2 linked regions of the Drosophila melanogaster genome follow. The protein of the gene in region 1 purifies or fractionates together with the protein of each later gene. This does not show direct contact. Each region holds a gene or a part of one and is shown in the gene's direction. Other genes may lie near its edges. The genes, in order: CG13126 and bsf.

Region 1 (4,533 bases):
TTTAAGAATGTAAAGACATCCACACGTTGTGACTCACGGACGTAGGCCTTCTCATCAGCCTTTCGCTGTCGTCGCTGGGCGCGCTTTAGCTTTCGTTCCACGCTAAAATAATCCTTGTCCCCGTTGGCGGCCTCACGCAGCTCCATGCAGGCATCTAGAGATCGACCCTGGGGAAGTATCTGGGCGCTTACCGGGGTGACGATTCCCCTTCCATCTGAGCCAAGACCAGTACCATGGATGTAACCCATTTTCTCCATAAGCTTAGAGCCGATGCCCTATAGGGAATAGTATTTATAGGAATTTAAGTTTTCTGAATCGTAATCTGCTCAACATACCCGTGTGAACTCCTCCCAGGCGCCAAGTCGTTCCGTCGGCTTAAAGGTAAACAAACTCAACTCGACCATGCGTGCTCTTCTAGCTTCCTCCAGATCATCCATATCCGACTCCGCCTCGTCACTGCTGTTGTCGTTCATGCTGGAGTTGCTCTCCTCGCTGGAGAGCTCGTCATCCTCATCCTGATCGGTGGTAAGTGGATACAGTTCTTCGAACTTGAAGTCTCGTTCCCGCTCCTTGTGATCCTGCCCATCCAAGCGGACGCGGCATATCTGCTCTACGAAATTTACACAAAGGACACGACCTCGATGCCACAATCGATCTGGTAGCAGGGCAAAAACTGGACGACTGCGGGAGAGTTTGTGGAAATCGGGTGGATTATATTTTCTAATGGAGCTACCGGTGACAAGGGCGCCATGGGAAAAGCGACACTTGGCCTCATCAAAGCGGCACTCGCCTTCGAGGTAATACGAACAGGGCAGCATTTCTCGATGCGTGGGATTCGTAAAGAGAACCCTTAGTCGAGCATCCAAGACGCCTTCGCTGTTCATAACCACCTCGTCGTCCACTCCGCAGATGAGGGCATTGTGGTAGCAGGTGCCCCAACTGTGCTCGTGTGGTGCGGAGCACTTCTCGCCCACCATGGCGGTGTACTTGGTTCGCAAGTCAGCCAGCTGGCGTTCTTCATCCAACGCGGTTTGTGAGGAGCCGGCCGCCTCTAGGTCATTAAGTTCGCTTTTGAGCCGCTGCAGCTCATCATCCAGATTGTCGCCCTGCTGAGGTAGTTCATCGATTGGTGCTTCATCTCCTGATTCCCGGGTGAGGGCCAACAGCTCCTGCAGATTGTTCTTTAGGGCCAAAAGATCCTGGCGTTGCGCATCATCCGCGGCATTTTCCAATGCCTGCTCCACAACGAGCAACTGTTTGATGCAAGTATTTTCATAAAAATAGTTGGGATCTCATGTTATCACCTTTGCTCACTTGTGCTTCGTATTCTTCCATTATTCTTTAAATTTATTATTTACAACATAGTGCTGATGGCAAGTTTGTTTTCAGATTCTAAGGAGCAAGCACACAGTAGAGGTCACGGTTATAGTACTCTTTTTGTTCAATTGTTATGTTTTCTCGACTATTTTTGGTTGCTTTTTAAATTTATTTATATAAATTGCTTATATGGTTGAAGGTAGTAAAATTATTATTATTAAGACATATGTATATTAAGAATTCTATTAAATGTTAACTCAAACAGAAAAAAGATGCTATTAATATAGCCGAATCTGTGATTGAGGCAAAACGTCTGGCAGCACCGTCAGCTGATGGGACTGGAACTTTTACAGCACTGGCAAATCGCCGGTAAACTCGTGTGGCTCTCATTTGTTTTGATTTCTCGGTTACTTATTACTTAACTAATTAGAATTTAATATGAATTTTTCACTGAATTTCACAACGAGAAATCTAGTGCCACGACTGCACCGATTCACCAGCAAGATTGCAGTGGACGTTGAACCAGCTGTGGTCTCTGCCCTGGAACATGCCACACTGAAGCCCAGAAAACATCCCGGAGTAGTGAGACCCAATCATGTGGAACTGCCGAAACAATTGAATGATACGCTAAAGCGCATCGTGGGGGATCATCCCGTCAAAAAACTAATCCACGATGGCCAGCAGCTCAACGCCTATATCAAATCCCGCCATCCACCACCCACGCTGGAAGAGATTGAGAACAAGAAACGCATCGTTATCGAAGAGGTCAACACGAAGATGCCTCTGGATCGCCTAGCTACACTCGACGAAGACGAGGCGGAGCGTTGGAGGCGCAAGCGGGAGCTGGAGATCAACAAGAGGCTGGGTCAGCGTATCTACGCCTGGAAGCGAATAGAATATGGAGCATACGAGTCGCTTGTGTACGCCATAGCTCGTGGTGCCCAGGAGTACGCCGTGTTGAAGCGCGTTCTCACGGAGCTGGCGCAGCGGGATGAACAGTTTCGGCCACGAAGCTTCTTTGACTTCGGATCCGGCATTGGAACCGGTATGTGGGTGGCCAGCGAACTGTGGCGCGAACACATATTCGAGTACTACAACGTGGACAGGTCCAGGGAGATGAATGAGATATCAGAGCTCATTCTGCGCGATGGCCATGAGAACAAGCAAATAGCCCTGCGCAATGTATTTTATCGACAGTTCCTGCCCGCCATCGAAACCAATTATGATCTGGTCATTATATCTCATACGCTTTTTGAGTTGGAGAACAAAGAGCAGCGGGAGGATGTGCTGCGGAATCTGTGGCGGAAGTGCGATGGTTACCTGGTCATTGTGGAGGAGGGAACGCGCCGTGGCAGCGAGTTAGTCAACGAGGCTAGGCAATTTTTGTTGGAACAGGAACAAGAAGGTCACACTGTGGCACCAGTAAGTTTCAACGTATTTGCGATGTAAGGGTAGTAATCTAACTTATTTATACATACCTTTAGTGTCCGCATGATTTGGTCTGTCCTCGACTTCGGGATCTGGCCGATCGAACGCCCTGCAATTTTCCCATCTCCTACGCTCCCCTGCGTTTGGGTAGCGACTTCTTGGCAGACCGTCACACCTCCCTCTACAGTTATGCCATCCTGAAGAAGGGTTCCCAATCCGATAGCTCAAGCTCCTGGCCGCGCATTGTGCGTCCCACCTTGGTAAGGTCAAAGCATGCCATCTGTCGGCTCTGCACAGAAAAGGGCACTCTCCAAGAGGTTATCTTCACGAAGTCCAAGCACGGAAAGTAAGTAGAACCACAAAAGGCTTTTAAACTCCTCTTAAGCAATTGTATTTTCTCTGCAGGTCTGCCTATTCTTGTGCAAAAGTGAGTCGGTGGGGTGATCGTTTACCTATGTCGCTGGGACAGCCGCAAATCAAACAAGAATCAATCGAATCAGAGGAACCACCTGTTTTGGCGTAGTCTAAGATGTTGAACCAATTATATTAGGCATAAAGTCACGACCTGAAGCTAATTGATACTAAAACTGGCATCCAATTAGTTGACTTAATTATGTGCAAACAAATCGTTGCGGGTGGAGCTGAATTTAATTAAACAGTTGCATTTAAGTTAACCATACAATTCAAATGGCAAGCGAGCATGCTCATTGATACTAAATTTTGTTCAACGGCCAACACACCCTCATCTGGATTTTAATGTATGGCAAGACAAAAGGCGGATGCGACTGCGGATGGGTTGGCCCCGCCGGTTTGGATCGTTGTGTTATATAATGTCACCTGTATATAGGAGCCTTGGGCTGACCATTGGTCGGCGATTTCAGCACGCCCAGTGTTCATACATATAGGTGCCATACACATACTGCTTTCATTATGCGTTTTAGGTTTAAGTCTTGAATTTAAAAACGTATTTCATTTGTACAATAATGTTGTTAAATATATATTTAAATGCCAAAATACAAGTTTTGGCAAATCAAAGAGTCTCCTGTCTTTTAATTAGGGATAATAGATTTCTTAGTCGAAATGTCTGGACTGAATATCTGCGTTTCGTAAGCCAATCCCAGTTTGGCTGACATTTAGTTATGAGAGTTTCGAAGTCTTAATGGGAGACGCGCCCTTTTAACGACCGCGGATCATCCCCGTAGCCATTCATCGCACCTCGAAGTCCTGTGTGCCATCAAAGGACATTATGTGGTTGGAAAAGGCCAAAATGTGGGGCGCGAAATGTGGCTAGCCGATGGAAAGGGGAGTGGGTGCGGAAGGACTACTTCCATGTACATCGGGTTTTAGGGATTGGCTTTGGAACAAGGTGTGTTTCAGAGCAACGAGCCGTGGATACATAACAAGGGACTATCCTGTGAGACTTCGTATAATAGGGCTTATACTCTTCTATTAAACTTCATTTAGAGCAACTCATTGATCTAATCTTGTACTATAATGGCTGATAGTGAATTTTTCATCTTTATATACATTTTAAGTTATATAATAAATTCCCTTTGAATAATTAATGTCCGTCTTTAGTTTGAAGTATAGTAATTTTTAAGATATTTATATATATATATTAAACTATAGGCTAGTTTGTTGTGTATCTAAAAAGTTCATTACTCTGCGTGCTCTTAAGCTGATCCTAGTTAAATTATTATCAACTAACTAGCTCTATTTTTAGCTCTTGGCTGAGAGATTGGGTTTGCTGCTTCTAAAAGTGGGTTATTCTAATAGCTTTTTTTTTTA
Region 2 (7,442 bases), 8.5 Mb from region 1:
ATTGCCGCCAGCTCCAAGCATTTCAAAGTCGCGTCCCACACTGACGAAAGGGTAGAGAACTTATTCACCAACGCATTTTGCTGCCAGGGTTGCCATCGCGCAGAAGGCCCCACAAAATAAGAAAAAAAAGAGTGGAGAGACGGGCAAAAATGGTAATAAAAGCAAATGAATCGCACCAAGTGCATCCAATGCACACATACAAAGGGATGGACGAAGGGGGGGGCAGCAATGGCGGAGGGAAGGGGGAGGGCAAGCCGGCCGCTTTTTGCGTGGCAATTTGTTTGTGTGTATTGCAATTTCTGGCTGCACTCTCTCGTTCTCTCTCTCTCTCCTTCTCGTTCTCTCTGTCACACACACACACACACACACACACGGGAATACTTAAGATTTAAGCTACATATTTTTTTTAAAATATATTTCCCCCTTTGTAATGTGCATTTTAATCAATTTTCTCGCTTACCAGTGGCGCAAATAGAGAATGCAACCAGACATCGTTTTTTTTCATTTTTGAGACGGCACACTAGATCGCACCTGTCAAACGCAAGTTATTTCCCCCTGAGGAACACAAGAATCCGTCACAATTTGCAGTGTAGTTACGCACACACATACGCGCTGCCAATACGAGTACACCACAACACGCACACAGCTGCAGCGGGAAGAGGAAGCGCGATTCGCGAACCGCCGTGTGCAACGATACGTTTGCAAATGAAATGCAATTTCCAGTTCCAAATTCGCCACAAAAGAAAGCTACGTCGACGCCGACGTCAACGGCGGCGTCTGCTGCAGAAATGACGCTCCGCAATAGCAGCAAATGAATAGGGAGCATGCAGTTTCTCTTAGTCAGGTGGATTGTTCTCTTTCTTTGCGGTGCATTTACAGCGCACTTTTGGCATTGCAAACACAAAGACAGCTCCGAAAAATTAAGCTAGAATAAAACATGCATCGTATGAAGACTACAAATATTAAAGACTATTGCTTCAAAATTCCAATGTGACCCATTATTTGTGAATTGGGAAAAGATTTGTTTCTATTTTATTTCTCGAAAAAGTTTTCAAAATAAAAGTCCTAAGCTTTTTTTAATTATTTTTTTGTTTGTCTTGTATTAACTTTTGTATTCGCTGACGATCTTGAGACCGTTGGCTGGCTTTGTTTTGCTTTTTTCTGAGTCCCACTGCCGTGCTGTTGTTATCATGTTATCACTATTAGGCGCTGGGCGTCTTTGGATGTCGATTATGTGTGGTGTACATATGGGTCTGGAGTGCTCCTAGGCAGAGTTGTGGATGTTCAGACGGAAGATGTCGTGAGCCACGAAGAGGGATCCTCCGTTGGGCTTCAGCAAAAAGATCTGCGAGAATGCATGTGGGGGATCGTCATCGCATTTTAGTCTTCCAAGGACGATGATCAGAACTCCGCCATCGGAAGTTGGCTGCGAATCCACTGTGGTTATCACTCTGGCAATCTTCTGAAAGCTCAGACTCTGAACTTTTTCCAGAATCTTGGGTGCTCCCTGTATTTGGTTGCCTTCAAAGGTCATGAAAGAGTCGGTAGCGTTATAGAAATTAATCACGTTCTCCCGATTCGCCGGGTCATCGAATATGGCGTAGTACTGCTGGACAAATTCCTTGCCAATGTCCTCGTACTGCAGATTCAGAGACATTTTAGTTCAAGTATATACGGGGTACGATTAGAGTTTCCGATCCGAAAAAAAGCAAATTAAATCGGTTAAGCTGACAGGCTTAGGCACTGTTCAAATATCCTCTCGTTTGTGTCACCGCTAAGCTGATACATTTGATTTGAACGTTTTGGTCCCACCGAAAACAATCGATTGTCGCAGGTAAACATCGATAGGCGCGAAGAGACATCGGTTTCAGCCGCACTCGTGCGAACGTCATTTTAATAATAAGCTCATTTATTAATTAAAACCGAACGATTCCGCCATGGCATCCATCCTGAGGACGGGCAAACTGCTGCGCTACTTCGCCGGCTTCACACGCAATGTGCTGGTGAACTCGGTTCGCGAGAACGAGACGAGCAATCTGCTGAACAATGCGCCCTGCATGTGCGGCCAGTTCCAAAAGTGAGTAAAATCTGGCCCCAAATCGCCGGCATTACGCAATGTGCTCATGTATTTACGTGATTAGTGGGGAATCGTCCACTTTCCAGCGATTGAATCCCGAAAAGAGGCGCACGTGCCGCCACTTGGGATCATCGCAGTTGCATTCGACTGATGTCTCACATATTTACATAACCTCATCCGGATTTGGAGCGCCTACTATGTGCTCATCCAATTTTGGCCTTAGTCGAGCGTTTTTCTTGTAGAAAGTCTAGTTATATATGTAGAAAGAAGCTAAATATCTTATTTTTATTCAAAAAGCAACACGATTATCTTATAACAACTCAGTTTCTCATTAAGGTCAGCCGGAAAATAATCTATAAGGACGTTAGGATTTTGTTAATTCATATATCTTTATATATTAATTAAGTTTATTTTTAATTATCTTCCTAGTGGTTTTGCCACGAATGCGGCGGCCAAAGCTGAGTTGAGTTTGGATAAACAGATTCGCCGGCTGGACCAGGATGTTCGTCGCATTGGGCGCATCTCCAGACGCGATCTGGAGGAGGTGCTCGATGAGATCCGCTCACACAGGACGGCCACCAGCTCGCAATCGCTGCTGGTGATTCGCTGCTGCGGCAACCTGGTACCGGAGGAGCTTCCCGAGGTCAGAACTGCCTTGGTGCAGGAGATCTGGAAGACGCTGAATGCGCTGAATGTACCCATGGACATCTCGCACTACAATGCCCTGCTTCGCGTTTACCTGGAGAACGAGCATGGGTTTGCTCCCACCGATTTTCTGGCAGAGATCGAGGCGAAGGGCATCGAGCCCAATAGGGTGACCTATCAGCGATTGATTGCTCGCTATTGTCAGCAGGGAGACATTGAAGGAGCCACTAGGATTCTGGAATTCATGCGCGCCAAAAGTCTACCCGTCAACGAAAATGTCTTTAATTCACTTATCCTGGGTCACTCGCAGGTTAGTCATACAGAAATAGATAGGTGGTAGCCATGTTTTTAAATTACTTTTTAAACGATTCTTTAGGCCAATGATTTGGAGTCCGCCAAGGGTATCTTGGGAGTGATGATGCAGGCCGGCTTGGAGCCCAGTGCTGACACCTACACCACTCTCCTGTGCGCCTTTGCGCGCCACGGAGACCTGGCTGCCGTAAAGGAAACCCTAGCTGAGTGTGAGCAGAAGGAGATCATTTTGCTGGACAAGGATCTGCTGGACATTGTGTACACTCTTACCGTCAACGGCAATGGTGAACACGTGGATGACGTTCTGACCAAGCTTCGTCTCTCGCCTGGTTTTAATCAGGATGCAGTGAACGTGATCCTTCGGCTGGTCAACAAGGGACACGAGGATGTGGGGCTGAAGCTCCTTCGCGTGATGCCAAGGAGCAGTCGTGTGAACGGTGAGCCCGTTGATGTGGGAGCTTTCTTCATCAGGCAGATGGTTAAGGCCAATCGGCCAGTGGAGAAGATCTTGTCCATCTGCAAGAGCCTGCAATCAGAGGGGCTTAATCCCAAGGCTCTGACTATTGCCACCGAAGCTGGCTTGACCAATGGCGTAATCAATAATGCGCTTCCCTTGCTGCAGGAAATGAAAAATGCTGGCTTGCCCATCAGGCAGCACTACTTCTGGCCTTTGATCTGTTCCGCGGAATCTAATCAAGTCTTGGAAATCGTACGTCGCATGCAGCAGGAGTTCTCAGTTTTCCCCAACTCCGAAACGGTCAGAGATTATGTCATTCCCAACTTGAAGGAAAAGAACTGGGAAAGAATCGTCACCTCTCTGAGGGATGCTGGGGTTCCCAACTCCACTGCTGTCACCTCGGCCGTCTACTCCGCATTAGTGACCCACCAGATTGCCGAAGCAGCCAAGATTATGGAGAAGAACAGAGCTTACTACGTGCCCTTCTTGTTCAAACAACCTTTGATTCTGGCCCTCAGCCATACGAACGATTATGCCTCCTTCATCCGATGTGTCCGCCAAATTCACGAAGGATTGCAATTCAGGCAAGGCAAGGATGAGGAAGTTGAGCAGGTAGAAGGCGTGGCTGCCGTTCCGACGGAGCGCATCACTCCCGATGTTGTAGGTGCAATAGTCCAGGAGGCAACCACCTATTTCCGCCGCGATCGCGGGGCCACGTTGGAGAAAATCCTCAAAGGGTTGGTCAAGCAGGGCTTGTCCATTAGCAGTGACAAAGCCACCCAACTATCCGAGCAGTTGGGTTCCGAACTGACTCCAAAGATTTCCGAACTTCTGGGTAAACTTAGCTCGGGAGAACTGGAGCCAGTTCCTCTTCCAAACAGCGGCAAGAGAAGCCTGGATTCGCTGTCCATCAATGGTAAGTTGTTAGATGTTATTAAAATACTTATCTAATATCTATATATTTTCTTTCAGAACTCGAGCGATTCATTGTGAATGTGGAGGGCAAGGGAGAAAATGCCAACAACATCAAGAGGCAACTCCTCAACGCCTGTTTCCGTTCGCAAAACTTGGAGAAGACCCTCCAGGTCATCGAGAAACTCGAGGCCGAAAAATTCCAAATCCCCGTTGGCATTTATGCCCAGCTCATCGATCTGAACACGCATCACAAGAAAAGCTCTGAGGCCTTAGAAATCTATGGCAAACTTAAAGCAAAGGACGCCACTTTCCAGTTGGATAACTTGAAGGCGGTTCGACTGGCTGATCTTCTCTTGCAAGAGGAACGCGTGGATGCTGCTTTTAAGATACTGGAGGAGAACAAGAAGGAAGTTCCCGTAGCCGAGGCCGAAGGAAGCTATAATTACATGAGCACCGTGTGGAGAATTTTGAACTCACTAGCCGAGGCCGGTCAGCCGGAGAGGCTGCGCAAATTGTTCGACGTACTGGTGGGGGCCAATTATATTGTGCCCACCAATGTGCTGCTGGGTCCACTGATCAAGGTTCACCTGGTCAAGGATGATATTCCCAAGGCAATCGAAGCCTTCGAGGAGATTTGCCAGAAGTATAAGTCCACGCCTTGGAAGAACGAGCTGGCTTGCCGTCTAATACAGAAAGAAGATGCTGCCAATCTGCAAAAGTTAACAGACTTGAGCACTGGAATCCATGGTGAAGTAAACAGCCTTTACGATCTGGTCTTCTCCTTTGTGGAGTGCGGCCGTGTGCGGCAGGCCAGGAAGATCCTGGAAACCCCCGGACTGCGTACCCGTCCGCAAAGAATAAACAGTGCCTGTGATCGTTACAAGAATGAGGGACTACTGCAACCGCTGGAAGGTCTTATTGAAGCCACGAAGGACCTGGGACATATCGACAGGAATAAGATTTACTACACGCTCCTCTTGAGCTACGACAAGGCAGATGAGGCGGAGAAGGCTTTGGGACTGTGGACTAAAATGCAGGAGGAGAATGTGACACCAAACGATGCTTTCCTTTTGAAATTGGCAGAAATCCTGAGTAAGAAAAATATTGACGTGCCTTTTGTGGTGCCAGAGACCCAAAACGAACAAGCCAAGGCCAAAAAAAGCAAAGCGAAAGATGCAACGACAACAGAAGCAGCCACAGAAACAGCTAAAGTAGCAGAACAGCCCAAGGAGAAGGCTGCGAAAAAGGAGCCAGCTAAAACGGAAACAGCAAAGCCACCCAAAACCGCCTCCCATTTGTCCGGCTTCCGCAAGGCAATCCAGGCCAATGATCCAGATGCAGCCATCTCGCATAAACAAAGTGTTCTGAGTGGCGAGAAAATTGGAGCTTTGGACACCTCTCGACTGATCGAGCTCCTGGTTCGAGCTGATCGCTTAACGGAGGCCACCAAGTATGTCGAGGAGCTCCTGGGCGATAAACTGCACCCGCAGCCCAAGATCTTCAAGTTTTACCTGAACAAAATTGCCGCTGCAGGCGATCTGGAAACAATGCAGAGAATTGGCCAGCAGCTGAATGACGAGCAGAAGCGTCTGATTTCCTTTGACAATCGGTTTTGTCATGCCAATATAGTGGCCGGAAAGGCGGAGGAGTTCCTGAAGCACTTGACCACAGAAATCGATGCGGCCAAAACTCCCGAGGAGTCAACCAAGCTGGCTGAGAAGTTCCCACGCGGAGGAGCAGTTGGCATTTTGGAAAAACACCCGGAATTGGTGCCGCAATGTAGGTCCCAGAAATGCCTATTAAACAAGTGTTAAAACTATAAATTTTTCTGATAATTTTCAGATCAATCCCTCGCTGAGAAGTTTGCTGCTCACAATCAACTAGGACCCATGAATGTCCTGTGGATGCATTTGATTTCCACTGGCCAGGAGGCGGCTTCTAAGGAGATTTGGGATAAGCACCTGTCCAATGCCCCAAGGCTGATGTTCCAGCGCGTTTTGCAGACGGCTCGCGAGCAGCAGGACGAGAAGCTCGCCTCCACAGTCATTTCCCAGCTGAAGAACAGCAAAATCTCCGAGGGCGCGATCGGAAACGCGTACTCCTGCCTCATTGACATCCAGACTACCAAGGGCAACTCCGACAAGGCCATGGTTGTCTTGGCCAATGCCATTAAGGACGTATCCTTGGAAAACATCAACAGGACAGCTCTGCTGCGTCTGAAACAGGCGGTGGAGGAGAAATCCCAGAAGTTCCCCTACACGATCCCCGAGAAGCGGACGAAGGCCGACGACTCCAGCTCGTCCTCCTCTTCATCCTCCAGCGACGACGACGTGTCGCCATCGGTACCGGAAACTGTTCCACCCAAACCGGACAGCAAGGCCTAGAGGTTTCTGCAAAAGGTCCTTGTTTAGTGTAGGCCGTCGTGATTAAAGCTTATTTTTAAAGTATTTACTATGGATAAACAATTTGTAAACTAAAATAAATTTAGTTGTTTTGTTGCGAAAGTGCGCCAGTTATTTTTCTAGGGGATTCAACTGAGCGATAAAGGATCTTTTTTACTATTTTCAAGATGAAGCTATCATTTTTAATTTTCAATAAAATAATGGTTCAATTCATTCCCTTAAGACAGATCCTAAAATTAATTGGAAGCACGCATGATGTTGTAAAACACGATTGCCCGTTTTGGAGCCCAAAAATCGCTAAAAAAAAAAAGTTTCGTTTCAAATTTAATGTTCTTGTTCCATATCCTTGTTCCATTTTCGAGCTGATATTCGAAATTTCTGCAGTGCAATGAACCAAATATGTTATAACAAATATATTACACTGTTTTAGTCGTAAAAAAATCGTTGCCCTTAAATATTGAGGTTCGCTGTGCTATAAAATTTACGATAGTGCCATATTATAAAATTAATTTTAAAATATCATTTTTTCTAATGTGGAACTTGAATTTAAATTTTCAGTTCAATTTAAAAAACACATTTAGCATTTCTATAGCTGACTATCGAAACTACAATTTCGATACGATTTAGCAGTCAA

The links.
Region 2: the proteins of CG13126 (region 1) and bsf purify together in Drosophila melanogaster (affinity purification with mass spectrometry, with the first as the bait; one large-scale study listed by BioGRID). This does not show direct contact.

The regions. Positions count from the first base shown.
Region 1 is NT_033779.5:9,951,316-9,955,848, reverse strand, and holds CG13126 (uncharacterized protein), read left to right. Parts: upstream 1-1,667; 5' UTR 1,668-1,755; coding exon 1,756-2,739; intron 2,740-2,801; coding exon 2,802-3,091; intron 3,092-3,150; coding exon 3,151-3,268; 3' UTR 3,269-3,777; downstream 3,778-4,533. Other genes in the region: CG4709 (uncharacterized protein), read right to left, coding at 1-275, 336-1,253, 1,315-1,335.
Region 2 is NT_033779.5:18,448,982-18,456,423, reverse strand, and holds bsf (bicoid stability factor), read left to right. Parts: upstream 1-1,836; 5' UTR 1,837-1,937; coding exon 1,938-2,077; intron 2,078-2,506; coding exon 2,507-3,032; intron 3,033-3,098; coding exon 3,099-4,407; intron 4,408-4,463; coding exon 4,464-6,185; intron 6,186-6,248; coding exon 6,249-6,790; 3' UTR 6,791-6,907; downstream 6,908-7,442. Other genes in the region: Ntf-2r (nuclear transport factor-2-related), read right to left, coding at 1,265-1,657.